2 linked regions of the Kluyveromyces lactis genome follow. The protein of the gene in region 1 binds, or shares a complex with, the protein of each later gene. Links are inferred from orthologs where the notes say so. Each region holds a gene or a part of one and is shown on either strand. Other genes may lie near its edges.

The links. Proteins that work in one complex are often made in the same cells at the same time.
Region 2: NUP188 (region 1) and NDC1 share a complex: the UniProt entries of both Saccharomyces cerevisiae proteins name them as parts of the nuclear pore complex. The link is inferred for Kluyveromyces lactis from reciprocal best matches to the Saccharomyces cerevisiae genes NUP188 and NDC1.

The regions. Positions count from the first base shown.
Region 1 is NC_006041.1:969,920-977,193, reverse strand, and holds NUP188 (Nup188p), read left to right. Parts: upstream 1-2,374; coding exon 2,375-7,195; downstream 7,196-7,274. Other genes in the region: RSN1 (Rsn1p), read left to right, coding at 1-1,010; inorganic diphosphatase PPA2, read left to right, coding at 1,227-2,120; U6 snRNP complex subunit PRP24, read right to left, coding at 7,222-7,274. UniProt on the Saccharomyces cerevisiae protein: Functions as a component of the nuclear pore complex (NPC).
Region 2 is NC_006038.1:136,845-143,761, reverse strand, and holds NDC1 (Ndc1p), read left to right. Parts: upstream 1-2,257; coding exon 2,258-4,078; downstream 4,079-6,917. Other genes in the region: recombinase RAD52, read right to left, coding at 39-1,349; bifunctional K:H/Na:H antiporter NHX1, read right to left, coding at 4,747-6,591. UniProt on the Saccharomyces cerevisiae protein: Functions as a component of the nuclear pore complex (NPC) and the spindle pole body (SPB), probably by playing a key role in de novo assembly and insertion of both structures in the nuclear envelope.

The DNA of each region.
Region 1 (7,274 bases):
GGGGTACTACATTCCCTGTTTACACTAACTTGGCTGTTATCACTTTCTCCTACGCGATCATCTCTCCATTGATCTTGCTGTTTGCATGTGTTGCATTCTTCCTATTATACGTTGCTTACCTTTACAATTTGACGTATGTGTTCCAGGAATCTCCAGATTCCCGTGGAATCCATTACCCAAGGGCTTTGTTCCAAACAATGGTCGGTTTGTACTTGGGACAAATTTGTTTGTTGGGTCTCTTTGTTGTTGGTAAAGGTTGGGGTCCAATCGTGCTACAAGCCATTTGTCTAGGTGTCACTGTTTTCGTTCATCTAAACTTCAATTCAGCATTTGACCATTTAATGGCCTTTGAACCTGTTGATACAATGAAGGCATTGGATGGTAAATCAAACACACCATCTTACATCAGAGATTTCGTTGAACCAGAAAAGGATGAAATCAAGGAATTGCCACCATTCCAAATCAAGAAGTACCATCCTCGTTCCTCGTCACAATTCGACCAAAGAACTACATCCATTCTGAGTGACAACACTTACGAAATCCAAACTGGTGTCTTTGATACCGATAATGAAAACACTTTGAACACAGTTCCATTGCTAGCAGACGGTGACATGACTCCAGTGCCACCAGCTCCATTCTGGAAAAGGTTCTTACTCCCTCACATCTACTATTCTTACAAGGCTGTGAAAACAAGATTGCCCGAGATCTACAATCTACCAGATCCAACAGAAATAACCGATGAAAAAGAAATCAAGCATGCATACGATTTCCCAACAGTCTCAGCTAAATGTCCATTCCTATGGATTCCTCGTGATCCATATGGATTCTCTACAGTTCAGATTGCTGATTTAGCTGGTGTCGTTGAAATTTCTGATGAAGGTGCTCGTTTCACAGAATCTGGCTCTATTGAGTGGGAAACTGCTCCACCTTCTTACAATGATTCTCAAATGCAAGTTGTATCTAATCCGTTTGACGAACAAGATGAAGATAATCTTCAGAGAGAGGAATAATCGTCAAGATCCAATCTAAGCCATTTTCTCTTACCATGTTGTGTAAGCTTTTAATTTATCTTTTTGTAATATTTCCACTAATCACTGATTAAATAATAATTTGTCTATTAAATTTCAAGCTTACCGAATTACAACCAAACACTAAGGAATCGTGGTCCAGTCGAGTCTGGGTATCCCACAGAAAGGATTCATTCCATAGTTGCTGTGTGGGAATTGATGTCTAGAGATATGAGAAGGGCTTCGCAACATTTGAGGTTGATTGGCAACCATTTACATGCTAGAAACTACCACAACGTTTTGGTTGGAAGCAAATACTCATCGTCTTTTAAACAGTACTTGCAGCTGCCAAACGGTGAAATTGGGTCCTATTTCCACGATGTGCCATTAGACTTAGATGTTGATGCCAAAACATGTAACATGATCGTAGAGGTTCCACGTTGGAGTAATGGGAAGTTTGAAATCAGTAAGACCGAACCATTTAACCCCATCACACAGGACATAAAGAAAGGCAAGCCACGATTTGTCAATAACATTTTCCCTTACCATGGATACATTCATAACTATGGGGCTATCCCACAGACATGGGAACAGCCACTTATTGAAGTATTGCCCGGTTTCAAGGGTGATAATGACCCATTGGACTGTTGTGAAATTGGTTCCAGCATCGCCAAAATGGGAGATATCAAAAAAGTAAAGCTTCTAGGGTCATTAGCCCTCATTGACGATGGAGAACTCGATTGGAAAGTCATTTGTATCGACATTGAAGATCCCATTGCTATAAAATTGAACAAGTTGGCAGATGTAGACACTGTTATGCCTGGTCTCTTGGATGCAACTAGAACATGGTTCAGAGATTACAAGATTCCTGCTGGGAAACAACCTAATGTGTTTGCATTCGAAGGTGAGTACCAGGACCAAGCATCTACACTTTCTACGGTACAAGAATGTCACGAAGCCTGGAATGCTCTAGTTAGGGGAGAAATTAAAGCAGATGGATCAGAGGCCGAGATTCCCTCCATTGTCAGAGCGGGAACTCACATAAGAGTTGAACCTAATCAACAAAATGACACACCAATCCCACAAGAAGTGGACAAATGGTACTATGTATGAACTTAAAAGCAGTCAGTGGTCAGTAAGCTTCTTCGGTTAGGTTAACCTGGCACAGCTCATCTCCTCTTATTATGCCTTTATGATATACATGTCCAATATTTTGATGTTACCCTCTCTCATATGTAGTGCAAAATTTTAATGTAAACAAAACTATATTTAATGAAACTATTCGATCTAACAATTAAGACGATGAGACAGTGGTACAGATTCACGTCAACTAAAGGCTATTGCGCTGGCCAGGTGTACCGTGCAGCATGTCATCTTTATCATTTGCTGGAATTTGTGCGTTTCTCCGCTCTGGGGAATACGATAAGGTACATAATGAGCCTACTTTCCAGGCAATCGATAAATTCTTGAAGGACAACGAAGAGATACTGGTTCATCTTTCGAGGTTTACCTCAGTTGAAAACACTGATTCCGTTGGAAAACAGCTGCAATTGAGGGGTTATTCATATAATGTGACGGTAGAGGACGAAAAATTGGCCAATGAGCTTTCAATTGCGTTAAATGTACATCAAAAAGAGTGTTTGAGAGTTATTTCGCAGACCAGGACCAGGTTCCCAGATTGTCCAATGGAAAAAGATACCATCGTTAAACAGATCTTACATGAAAGAAACTGTGTCTTGGATACAACCCTCGTTTTATTAAATCATGATTCTTTCCCAGTTTTAAAGGGCTCCATGTTACAACTTGTCTACAAGAATAGGTCCACAATGATATCAGAAGCAATTCTTCTGGTCAAGAACTGTGTAGCACTTATCGGCTCAGCAGAGCAAAATGATTCTTATAAGAGCTCATTAATGTCGTATGATCTTATTTATATTACAAATCTATTGAATTTGATCGCATTCGTAAGCTTGAATCAACCAGTGGGTCTGGAAATTATCACAAAATGGTACGAGTTGCTCGAAGAAACACAGTATTTCGCCATACTCAAGGATAATAAAGATGTCCCATCAGAGATCTACAACATGGCAAATTCTTTAATGATAATGGATACTATTATAATGACAGGATATAATACAAGCGAAGACACGATAGACGTAAAATCGTCTTTTTTTAATGACGCTGCGACTTTCAGAAGGCTTCTAGATCTCATAATAAACACAGATCCGCCAGCAATTATTGTATACTACTGGTCTTTCATCTTATATTCCAAATCGTATCTGTTAGAAGAAGATCCTGAAAATAATCTGGAATTCGTGCAGCAAGTCTTCAACTCACAACCCATTTCGAAGCTAATCAAAGAGTTTGCCCTTACTGCAGAGAATGAAAATGTTTTCGAAGAGATTTCTAAGGTTTCACAAATATTCAAAGATCAAGCCTTCTTTGCGGCTATACTGACTTCCTTCATCACTTTTTCGTTGTATTTCGTTCCAATCAGTATAAAGACTTCCAAAATGATCAAAACTGTCCTCAGTAACGCACCAACTCATTATGTGGAAAAGTTCTTGACAAACAAAGAATTTGAGAAAAAATTCTTCTTGATAAAAACAAAGGCTCCGCTGTTGAAAGAGTCACTCATTCCAATGATAAACATAACCTCAGCGAATGCTGAATTTGCAAATTTTGAGTGGAAGGAACTTCCCACCTATGTCCAAGAGGTTGTATTGGGAAGTCTAGAGTACGACTTAGCTGATGATGCACACTCAACAGATTTGATATCCATAAAGAGTGAGACCTTTGCTCGAGTACCGTTGGAACCTAGTGGGAATGTTCTCTTACCAATTCCGAAGGACACGAAGGCTAAGATCTTACCTTCAGTAACTAATGATGACGTCGTGATGTTCTTGTATAAATATAACGGTTGGTCATTATTGGGTAGAGTCCTTCAAAATGCATGCGATAGATATCTGTCCACTTCATCTGCTGGTGTTCAAGATTCTGATGTTCAGGAAATGATATTATCAATGCTGGATCTAATTTCTAGTGTTATAGGAAGTGGTATCTCGGTGGAGAAATCGGCCGATATTCTACTACAAATGTCTACCTATCTTACAGAAGATTACATTTTTGATGTTATTTTCAAAGTCTTCGAACAATCTTTGCATTTAAGAGACTATGACGTTATTGATCATTGTCTCAACCTACTCATCAGTTCCATAGATGACTTTTCTCAGTTCGTATGGTCGCATTTAGCAAGATCTGAACTCCTTGATAGGTATGGCAAATCCGGATTGATTTCTAGTGTCTTGGGCACCATGGAATTACCAAATGGAAACTACTCAATAACAATCAAGATTATCAAATTGGCGCAACAATTAGTTCTAGAATCTCTAACACTAGAGACAGAATTCCCAGAAAATCTGAAAAAGGAAATTCTTTCGAAATTCTTTCAGCATTTCATACATGTTTATGAAAGTTATCAATACTGGAACTATCGTTCCATAGCTGAGAAATATGAGCTAGGAACAAACTTAACCATCTTGTTTACGACTGTCGTTTACAATATTTATGGTATCGATCCATCTAATCCGCCAGAAACTAAAATTACTAAAGTCCTATCATCAGCTGCAAACGACATAACGAATCGCTTTTTAAGTTCTGACTCACCAGATGTAAGAACAGTCACTTCCATACTGCATGTTCTATTATCCAGCAACTCATTGGAAGCACTCTCTATCGGAAATGAAGTCTTTTACAATAAGTACAACCAATGTTTGCTGAAGTCTTATGAATTAGCAAACCTTTTAATCTCCGTCCGTGCAATGTTACAATTACCTCCCAGCACTCTGGAATCACAAATATATGGCAACTTGCCGAAGTTAATTGACATTTACGCCTTACACAATGATTTAAGAAATCCAATAATCAAACTCATGACGCACCTTGTGAGAGCCCCTTGGGCCGAAAACTTCCCATCTCTTTTATCGTATCTGGGCCAAAAACACTCCAAGATGATTTTCAATTCGATCTTGTACGACCTCGCAAGTACAATCGATGATTATCAATTTCTGAAGAGTTTATACAGATTCTTTTCTTCCGTTATGGAAGGAAAGCAGGATGGTTTCTCTATTCTTTTAGTTACTGGCGAAACCATATCCGTTGGCTCTTCCCCAAAAAAATCAGAACCATCGAATAGCGCCTCTGAAACATCAATTCTTTCTCTCCTTAAGAAAAATGTCTTGAAGCTAGATTGCTACCCGGAATCTGTGGCTTCTCGACTTCTTGAAGCAATCTCATATGCATTCAACTCTTGGGCTGCTGCAAGGAATAATACAGCAGATAAAGAATTTATAGATTTTCTCGTCAAAAGGCTAGAAAAGTTCGAGGACAAGTTGGCTCCCGATTCGGTTGAGGCGACGATTAAATTATCCAGTCACTATCGTCTTCAAGCGAGGATTGCTGAAATATTTGCCCTTCATCTATTCACCTCTTCACCTTCAGATTCCACCATAACAAACATGTTAAATGGACCCCAACTTGTTGATATCGTTAAGAGGATATTTTCTATAGACGGATATGATAAAACTCTTCATTTGACTCTCGCAGAGGAATTCAAAAAGATTTGGCCTCATCTGGATATAGAAAAATTCGCTATTTCACCACTTTATAGAATCGGTAAGGCGTACCAGGCGAACATATATGACATTGAACTTCTTGATCAGTTCTTCTGTTGTGAAGAAAAATGGAGAGGGAACGGGTCCACTCCAGGGTTTAGAGAACAAGTTATAAAAAGCTCTATCAACTTACAATATGTGTCTTTCCAAATTTCAGCAGCAAAATCATGGGGAGCTCTTTTGACCGCATTCATTAAGAAAACTCCAAAGCCTTTACAAGCTTCATATGTCGATATTGTTACCCAACTACTCGCACTAAATGTTGAGCATGGTGTGGAGGCACCTATCTTCTCTGAAATATACCTCCTAAGAATCGAATTGGTGTTTTACATACTGTATTCATTCTTACAAACTTCTATGAAGATACCTGAGGATAAGCTTGAAACTCTATTGTCACAGCTTTTGGCAATTTTAAAGTCTAAAGAGGTAGATTACCTCGGAAATATCGCACAATCGAATAAGAATAATCAATATAGACCTATTCTTCGTTCGATTTTGATGTTGTTAACTTTGGCAAAACCTTACCCTATGTTTTCAGAAAGATATTCTGATAGTCTATTGGAAGTCTTCGAGTTAGCTTTTTCAAAAGGTGTTAATTTGATCTTGTCTTCTATATTATTCTCATTCACAATAGCCTCCAACAAAGGTAAAAAAGTTATTGTGCCAAATCTTGCCGACAAAATTCAAGATTTGTTACTATTACTATCCCTTTTCACAAAAATCAAAGAACTGAACCCTTCGACATCCTTTAACGCTGTATTGGCATCCTCGCTAAATGAATTTGGAACCTTAAAATCACTTTTGAATCTTTACTACAGTTCATATCTTTTCAGATCTCATGATGAACCCTTATTCGCGGAGCTAACCCTGTCATTCATTTCTGAGCTTGTCACAATTGAAGAAGTTGCACAAAAGATTATAGATAACGGGCTCTTCTCTGTGTTCTTGGAAAGTCCGATTTCGGTGTCAATTCAACAATCTGGGGCTCGCCCAGAATTATCACCAAGATTGCATAACATATGGTCCAATGGCATCATATCGATTATTCTTCAACTATTAAGTAAATTCGGATCTGGAATACTTTCGGAAGTGTGTCTATTTGTTTCATATTTCTCCAAACAAATAGATCTTGCTGTGGGGGGCTGGTCGTCTGACTCACTGTCCATAACTCAAGCATATATCCAGGAGACTTCCCAGATAATTCTTTTGCAGAAAATGCTAGATAAACTTGAATATCAGCGTTATTTGTCTGTTAATGGTTCCAAATTGAAGGTCATTGACGAAGAAGAGATAATAGAGTTGTTCCCTGGTTTAGACACTAGCTCTGAGAGAAACGATTTGGCAAATGTATTGAAACATTTGTTAACTCACCCAAAGTATATGAATTCTCGGATCATCGCGACAACCCCAGACAAACAAAAGATGATGGAAGATGAGGTCTATAGAAATCAGCTTCTACATTCTATCACCAAGCAAATCTCAGAACTTCAATCATCCTTGATGTCAGATTTATAAACAGGTAGGTTTATATAGTATTAATATTATTTAGATAGAAATAATTTTCTGAAGTCATCATTGCTCAACTTTTTGTCAT
Region 2 (6,917 bases), on another chromosome or scaffold:
CAGGTAATTCGATGACTTTAGTTATTCTCTAAGACACTTTATGACACATTTCTTCTGTTTGGCTGTTGCAGCATACGAGGTCTTCCAAGTTGGGTGCGCTGAGGACCTTGCAGTTGCGGAGCAGGTTGCGGTCCTGCTAGTTGTGCATTTGATCTTGTTGGGGTACTTCTGTTACTTTCTGTTGCGCTCGTTTGGGGAGCAGCAACATATGGTTCAGAATTTGTCGTTGTGCCAGACAGTTCCTTGCCCTTAGGAGCGAACTTGGAGTAGATACTGGACCTATCACTGTCCAAGCCCTTTTCTTTTAAAATAGTAGCTCTGACTGGTGTAGATACTGACTGGTCAACGGTATGTCTTATGGACTGGGCTTGAAATTTAGGGTCAAACATAGATCCTGACGGGATGGGATCTTTATGTTGCAGTGATGTGGCAGCTTTAGCAGTAACAAATGTCACAGGAGAGATAATACCAGTAGCTTCATCTGATATTGTGGTTGTGGTTGTACTGCTATTAGTAGAATTTTTGTTATTTGTTGTCGTATTCATATTGAGTAAATCGTCATCTTGTATTTCGTCGCTAAACATGAAAGAATCATCAAGTAAATCATCAGGGTCCTGCTGTTGATTGCTAGTTTCTTCATTCGGTGATGCGGATGCTGTTACTGCTTGTGCTTTTGGTGCTCTTTTCTGTGTTGTATGATTATTTGACCGGTACGTTTGCTGTGCAGGTGCAGAAGGTACGGCATTTCTATCCTCATTTGTTAGGCTTCTTTTCTTCAAAGAAGGTCCCTCAGTATGCGCATCTCCAACCATATTTGATCTTGACATCTCACTTAATTCATCTGCAGGTCTGAAAAGGTTTCCCTCGTCAAAATCTGGGGGATCAAACTTCACTTTATCAATCTTAGCCAAGAAATCCTTATCATAAAGACAATTCCCAAGAGCGTTTCCGAACCCTCTTAACGATCTTTTCAACGCATCTGTCACTGCAGATTTCTTGGCACGCTCGAAAGCGCTGGCTTTCCTCCGTTCATTTTCCACGGTTCCATACCCAATATCCTCTCTGAACGTTCCATCGGCTAACGAAACACGAACAATAGCGGTGCATCCAATACTAAATCGACCTTGCCTTTCGTCAAGGAAATCTATAGTGACATTTTTAACCTCCGTAGACCATCCGTCATACCCAAAAATCTGGTTTGCTAGATTGATTGCTTTCCAGCCTTCGATATATGCTACTCTACTGGATCCAAATCCTACTCTCTTTGAAATATATTCTGGTCCTAGCTTCTTATCTAACTTCGTTTGAATGTCATCTTTACCATTCTTGCCACTTCCTGTATCCTCCATATCTAACAAACTGCAAAAAGGAAAATTGATGCGAGTCGCACTAATATACCAATCCACAAAATCTTCTACCAGTTAAAGACACAAGCAAGGTGGTATCCTGTCCAATTCAACAGCGCAAAATCGTTAACTGTTTGACCTAGTTTGTTTAAGTTTTAGTTTATCAATACAGTAAATTTGAAAAAAGTAAACAGAGCAGTAGCTTAAATCACGTAAACTTGAAAAAGATCTGTTTCTATCGGTATTAAAAGACGCGAGAGCCATGTAAATTGAAAGGAGTTTTGAAAGGATGGCAATGAAACTTAACATTATCATTATAGGATTGGCAGTACCTGTGCTGTCATAGAAGTACTTACATTGGTCATGAAAGTGGCGACGCAAATCATTCTAATATTTTCAGTACTCTATGAGTGACCTTGTATATATTTGTATATATCTTTTGGACAAGAATATCAACTTTTAAGCGTTAAAGTTGACACGAGACCATTGTTACAAGAAAGAGAAAGAGAATATGACACATATTTAGTTGATTTACTTATTTACATGTAACAACTGTTTACGATATCATCAGGTTCGCGTTTAGCGTCTATATGTTGAGACTGACCTCACTGACAAGGAGGTGATTGTCTTTAGTTTCGAGTTACCATGCAAATCAACTATGACATTGGCATAAGAGGGTTACCCGAATATCTAATTTTTTTATGACGCCTGATCTCTAGATCACAACCTGTTAAGAACTTAAAATGCTTGAGATGATATACAAATAAATAATATAAGTAACTCGGAAGGTAATTGATTGTCCTAAAGTCCAATTGACCTTTGTCTGTTTTAAGCATCTAAAATTACTCAGCTTATTGCTATACAGGCTGTACTTTTACCTGTGTTCATCTTTGATTGGTTTGTTTTCATTGATGTCTTACGTGCAGAGTTTAGGACCGGTTGCACCGCAACTGCGTGATTCTCGTTTTACTTACCATCGGATATTCAGTGGGGTATGCAAGAGCAGGTTTAATAATTTCGCCAGGGGTTTACTCTTCAAAACAGCGGTACTTGTCGGTTTAATTACAACCATTACGACACAATGGGAGTTGTCGAAATCTCAGAAATTACTGTTATGGCCAGTAAAAATATTATCTTTCTATGTTGCAATGTTGATGCTAATTATTACCAGGAAAAACTATCTTCATGTCAATTACCTTGGATATACGAGCTGGATAAGCGCATCATATGGCCAATTAGTCTCCCGTAAATGGATCACGTACCTTTTAGTTTACGTTGTGAGCGCATTCTTCCTTTCTTTGACATTTTCCTGTTGCTTTTTCACTCCAGGTACTGGTTCAAGAAAGCATTCACAGCATTACGAATTTTGTTGTCAGTTTATGGTACCTTTTTTGTATTCCATCCAACATGTACTTTTAGATCTTGACAGACTTACTTTCAACTACGGTGCTCAACATCAACATCCTCAGAAGTTTATGGCTTCAAGAATCCATGATTCATTTTTGAAGTGTCTTGTGTTAACTGCAATACTCTTTCTAATTACTCCAATTCTATTAAAGCTTTTATTCGGACATCTAGGCTCTGGTATATGGTCCCATATTAGGATTTGTTGTATATGCTTGTTAATCTTGCAAACATGGGACTTTACAAACATTGGCTTCGACGCCTTTCTATCAATTGGTTGCTTGCATAAAGGTAAACCAATCTCTTCGTTATCTCCAGCTTCAATGGAGACATTGATCACTGGGTTGAGATCAGAAAAATTATTTGTTAAACTTACTGCATTCCAAGAGCTGGCCTACAGAGCCACTTGTGCAAATGTGGAGTTGAGGCTCCCAATTTACCACAATACCTATAGAAATAGCTTGATCTGGCCCGGTATACTTAGAGAATGTATGATTGTTATTCAAGAAACCAACTATAACGTATCCGATTTCTTGCTTACATTGAAGAAAGAGATTGATCCCCAGCCTACAAAACCATCTTTCCCTATCAATAGATCGGTAGATCATTTATTCGGTACCAACCATACTGTCAGAAAACAAAATAATGATGAGGATTCCAGATTACCTGGTGCTCCTCCTACTGAACAAATAAATTCGGATCTACCATCAATGGCTTCACATAGAATCGTTTTAGAGGACAGCAATGTTTTCAAAAACAACGATACCCAAAGAAGTCCGAATCCTCCGAGATTTATCGACTCATACAAACAAGCAATTTTTACCAGACAACCTACAGTACTTTCTGTTTTGACTGATCTTTGGAATTGGATACAGAGAAGAATCAGTCAGTACTTTTTCACCATCGATTCAACTGATAACACGAACAAGAAGCTCTCATTGTTTGAACTTTACCATATATCAAAAGTAAGGGAAGCTGAGAAGTTGTGTCCTGTGCCAGTATGCTATGCCGAGTGTGTGTATTCGATGATGGGTTTTATAGTAAATTCTGTGGATGAAGATCCCAAAGGAGCTGTCGTATCTTCAGTCGGCGAAGTATTAAAAATTTTGGAAAGATCTATTGGCTCTTTAGGTTCGTTTACTGAATTAATATTGGATGGAAAACAAGAAAAGGATTTGAATGATGTCATAAGTGTGTTGTATGACTTATGTATCAATGCATTTTTGGAAATAGTTTTGAAGTATGACACTCTCCTTAACGATGTTTATTTGGACGAAGATGTCGTGAAGTTAACACAGTGGTTGCAAAAAATGTCACAAGATATTTAAACATAGCTTGGCATCAATTGGATTATTCCCAACAGAAGCATGTTACTCTAATAATATTCAAAAGTTATATTGCTTTCATTATAAAAGAGAAGAAATCTACCCCAAACTTCTGGTATGTTATAGGAAGATGTTACATGTACTGAACAAGCGAGCGGAGAATACTTGCTTCTTATTCCAGAAGTCGGAATTATTCATGAAATGTTTTTATTTTCCATTAACCTTCACTAGATCATAATGACCATTGAGGTTAGTATTTGAGTTACAGCAGAACTTTTGTTATAACAAACTTATTTTAGCATTACGTATGAATAAAATACAAACCAAAGCATACAAACGTTATCTTCATTTTTACAAAAAGGTCATTACGTATTTAAAAAGACTTTTTCCATCGGTTTATCAATTCATCGATCCGCACTAGCTTTTCGTGCACAATTAACGTTTCTCGCCAACCGTAAGTCTTATAAATTTAATAGCAACGTCTGTAGTATCTGCTCAAGAAGTGTTGTACTGGGATAACAACAAATGATAATGAGATGTACTACAATACGAAGAATTCGACTAAGTGCCTTACAATGCATGATCTATTTAGTGCTTGCCAGTTTTTTGTTCATAAAAGTATATACACATAAAGTCAACATATTATGCAGTTGTAAAATGTTAGAAATGAATCACAACGTCCGTCGAACTGACATGTCATTTGGGGAGTTTGATGATTTAGTATTTGTTTGAGAAGGTATTGCGGAATTATTGTCCAAAAATACTGGTTTTAGGACCTGCTCATCAAAGTTTGCAAACCATTGATCCTGCTGGAAAATTTTGTCAACGGAGCTTCTTATTTGAGCACCATCAAATGAGAACCTCGGGCCATTTAATTGTTGACTTGGAGTGTCTTCGGGCGATATTATACCTGCAGCGGCATTGACGCTTGTAGCCAACGGTGGGAAATCAGATCTGAAGTCTGTCGACAAGTTCAAACTGCTATTAGCTAAAGAGATTGGACGGGGTGCTTCAATGTCAAATTCATCGTCACTAATATCATTCTCATCTACACAGCCGGTCTTAATGTTGAGAATCTCTAGCATACTAGCTGTAGTCCCACCGAAAATTATAACGGTTAAAACAACAACAACAAGAACAGTAGCTAATAGGGTAAATTTGAATTCACCTTGGATACCCATGGCTAATGCAACACCAACAGCACCCCTAAGACCAGCCCAAAACACCATCATCTGGTATTGGTAAGGAATTTCATCTGGAATTGAATATTCGGATTCAGAGTTCGCATTCAAACCCATTGATCTGAGAGTTTTCATTCTGTAAAACCAATTAACGAAATTAGACAACGGAAGTACCGCTGACCAACGTGCCACACATATGGATATTGCTGTAATAATGATCAACATTGGCTTGTACACCAATTCCACTTCGGTGAACAAAGCTAGGCCAAGATAAATAAAGATAAAGTTTTCTGATAATCTTGCAAGTAGTTGGAAAATGTATTTTAAAGTAACTTGAGTTCTTCTGGACATATTATAATATGCGTAATGTTTCAAAGTTATGCCGCAGAATAATAGAGATACGATTCCGGACATATGACAACCGTTGGAGAAGAAGTAAGATTGGTAAGCTACTAGAAGGATGATACAACTTTCAATCTGTGGATATCTTCTAATGTAAGTGTGCTTCAAAAACAATGCGACAAGCATCCCAATCATGCATCCGATCAACAGGGATACTGTGAAAGTCATCATAAACATTCCGATACCTTCGAAGAATGAACTGAATTGTAATTTTTTACCATGGAATTTCTGACAAGTTTCGAACATGACAATAGAAATTGCATCGTTAAGTAGAGATTCACCAAAAATGATAGTGTAAAGTTTGGGATCCACTTTGTATGCATTGAAAATCGACAAGATAGTCACTGGATCGGTTGCTGACAATGTGGCCCCTACGGATAATGCATCGACGAATGATATGTTGATACCCTCAAGCCCTAGAGAAGTCCAAATGAACAAGATTGTCCCAAGCACAACAGCAGATATTAAAGTTCCAGGAATTGCAAACGTTAGGATCGAAACGATGTTATTAAAGAAATTAACCTGATTCAACTCATACCCAGAATTCAAAATGATCGGCGGTAGTAATACGTTAAAGAAATACGACGAATTGAACGTTACCGTGTCCTGAATGTAATGACCTGGGGTCAATCTGATGATGAGACCGACTAGCATTCCGTAAAAAATCGATAACACGGTTTCGTGAACAGCTCTGACCCGTTTCCTTGTTAACATATATGAGGACCACAATGCTGCTATAAGAAGGAAGAGCAAGATAAAGAGTGCCCAAGAAGAGAACATCTCTTCCGTAATTGGGTTCACATCCTCCGGATCATCAGGAATCGGCGTTTCATCCCCGGGCTCACCTTCATCTAACGGACCACCATCTTCACCTGCTCGAGCCAATTGAGCCTTGATTGCCAGAAGTACAATACTAACCAGCGTTCCCTTCATCTATGATTCCTGTCTCTTTTTTTTTTTTCCCTCGCTCTCTCTCTCTGATCCTTACGAGATGCTTCTATTTCGCCTTGTATGCTACTAAAGATTCCAATTCACTTGCCTCAGGTAAAGCAAACAACTGGTACAATCGAGTGTCATGTACATTAAACTATTTCTCCATAGTTAAAAAAAAAGTGGTTCAACCTTTTCCCCTATTGCATCATCTGCATCCAATTCAAAACCTTGTTTCAATGAATCGATTTCAAAGCATTTTAGTTCATAGGCAGCATCTGAGTTCACTGGCCAGATCGCAACAGACATCCGAATAATGTGGGAAATAT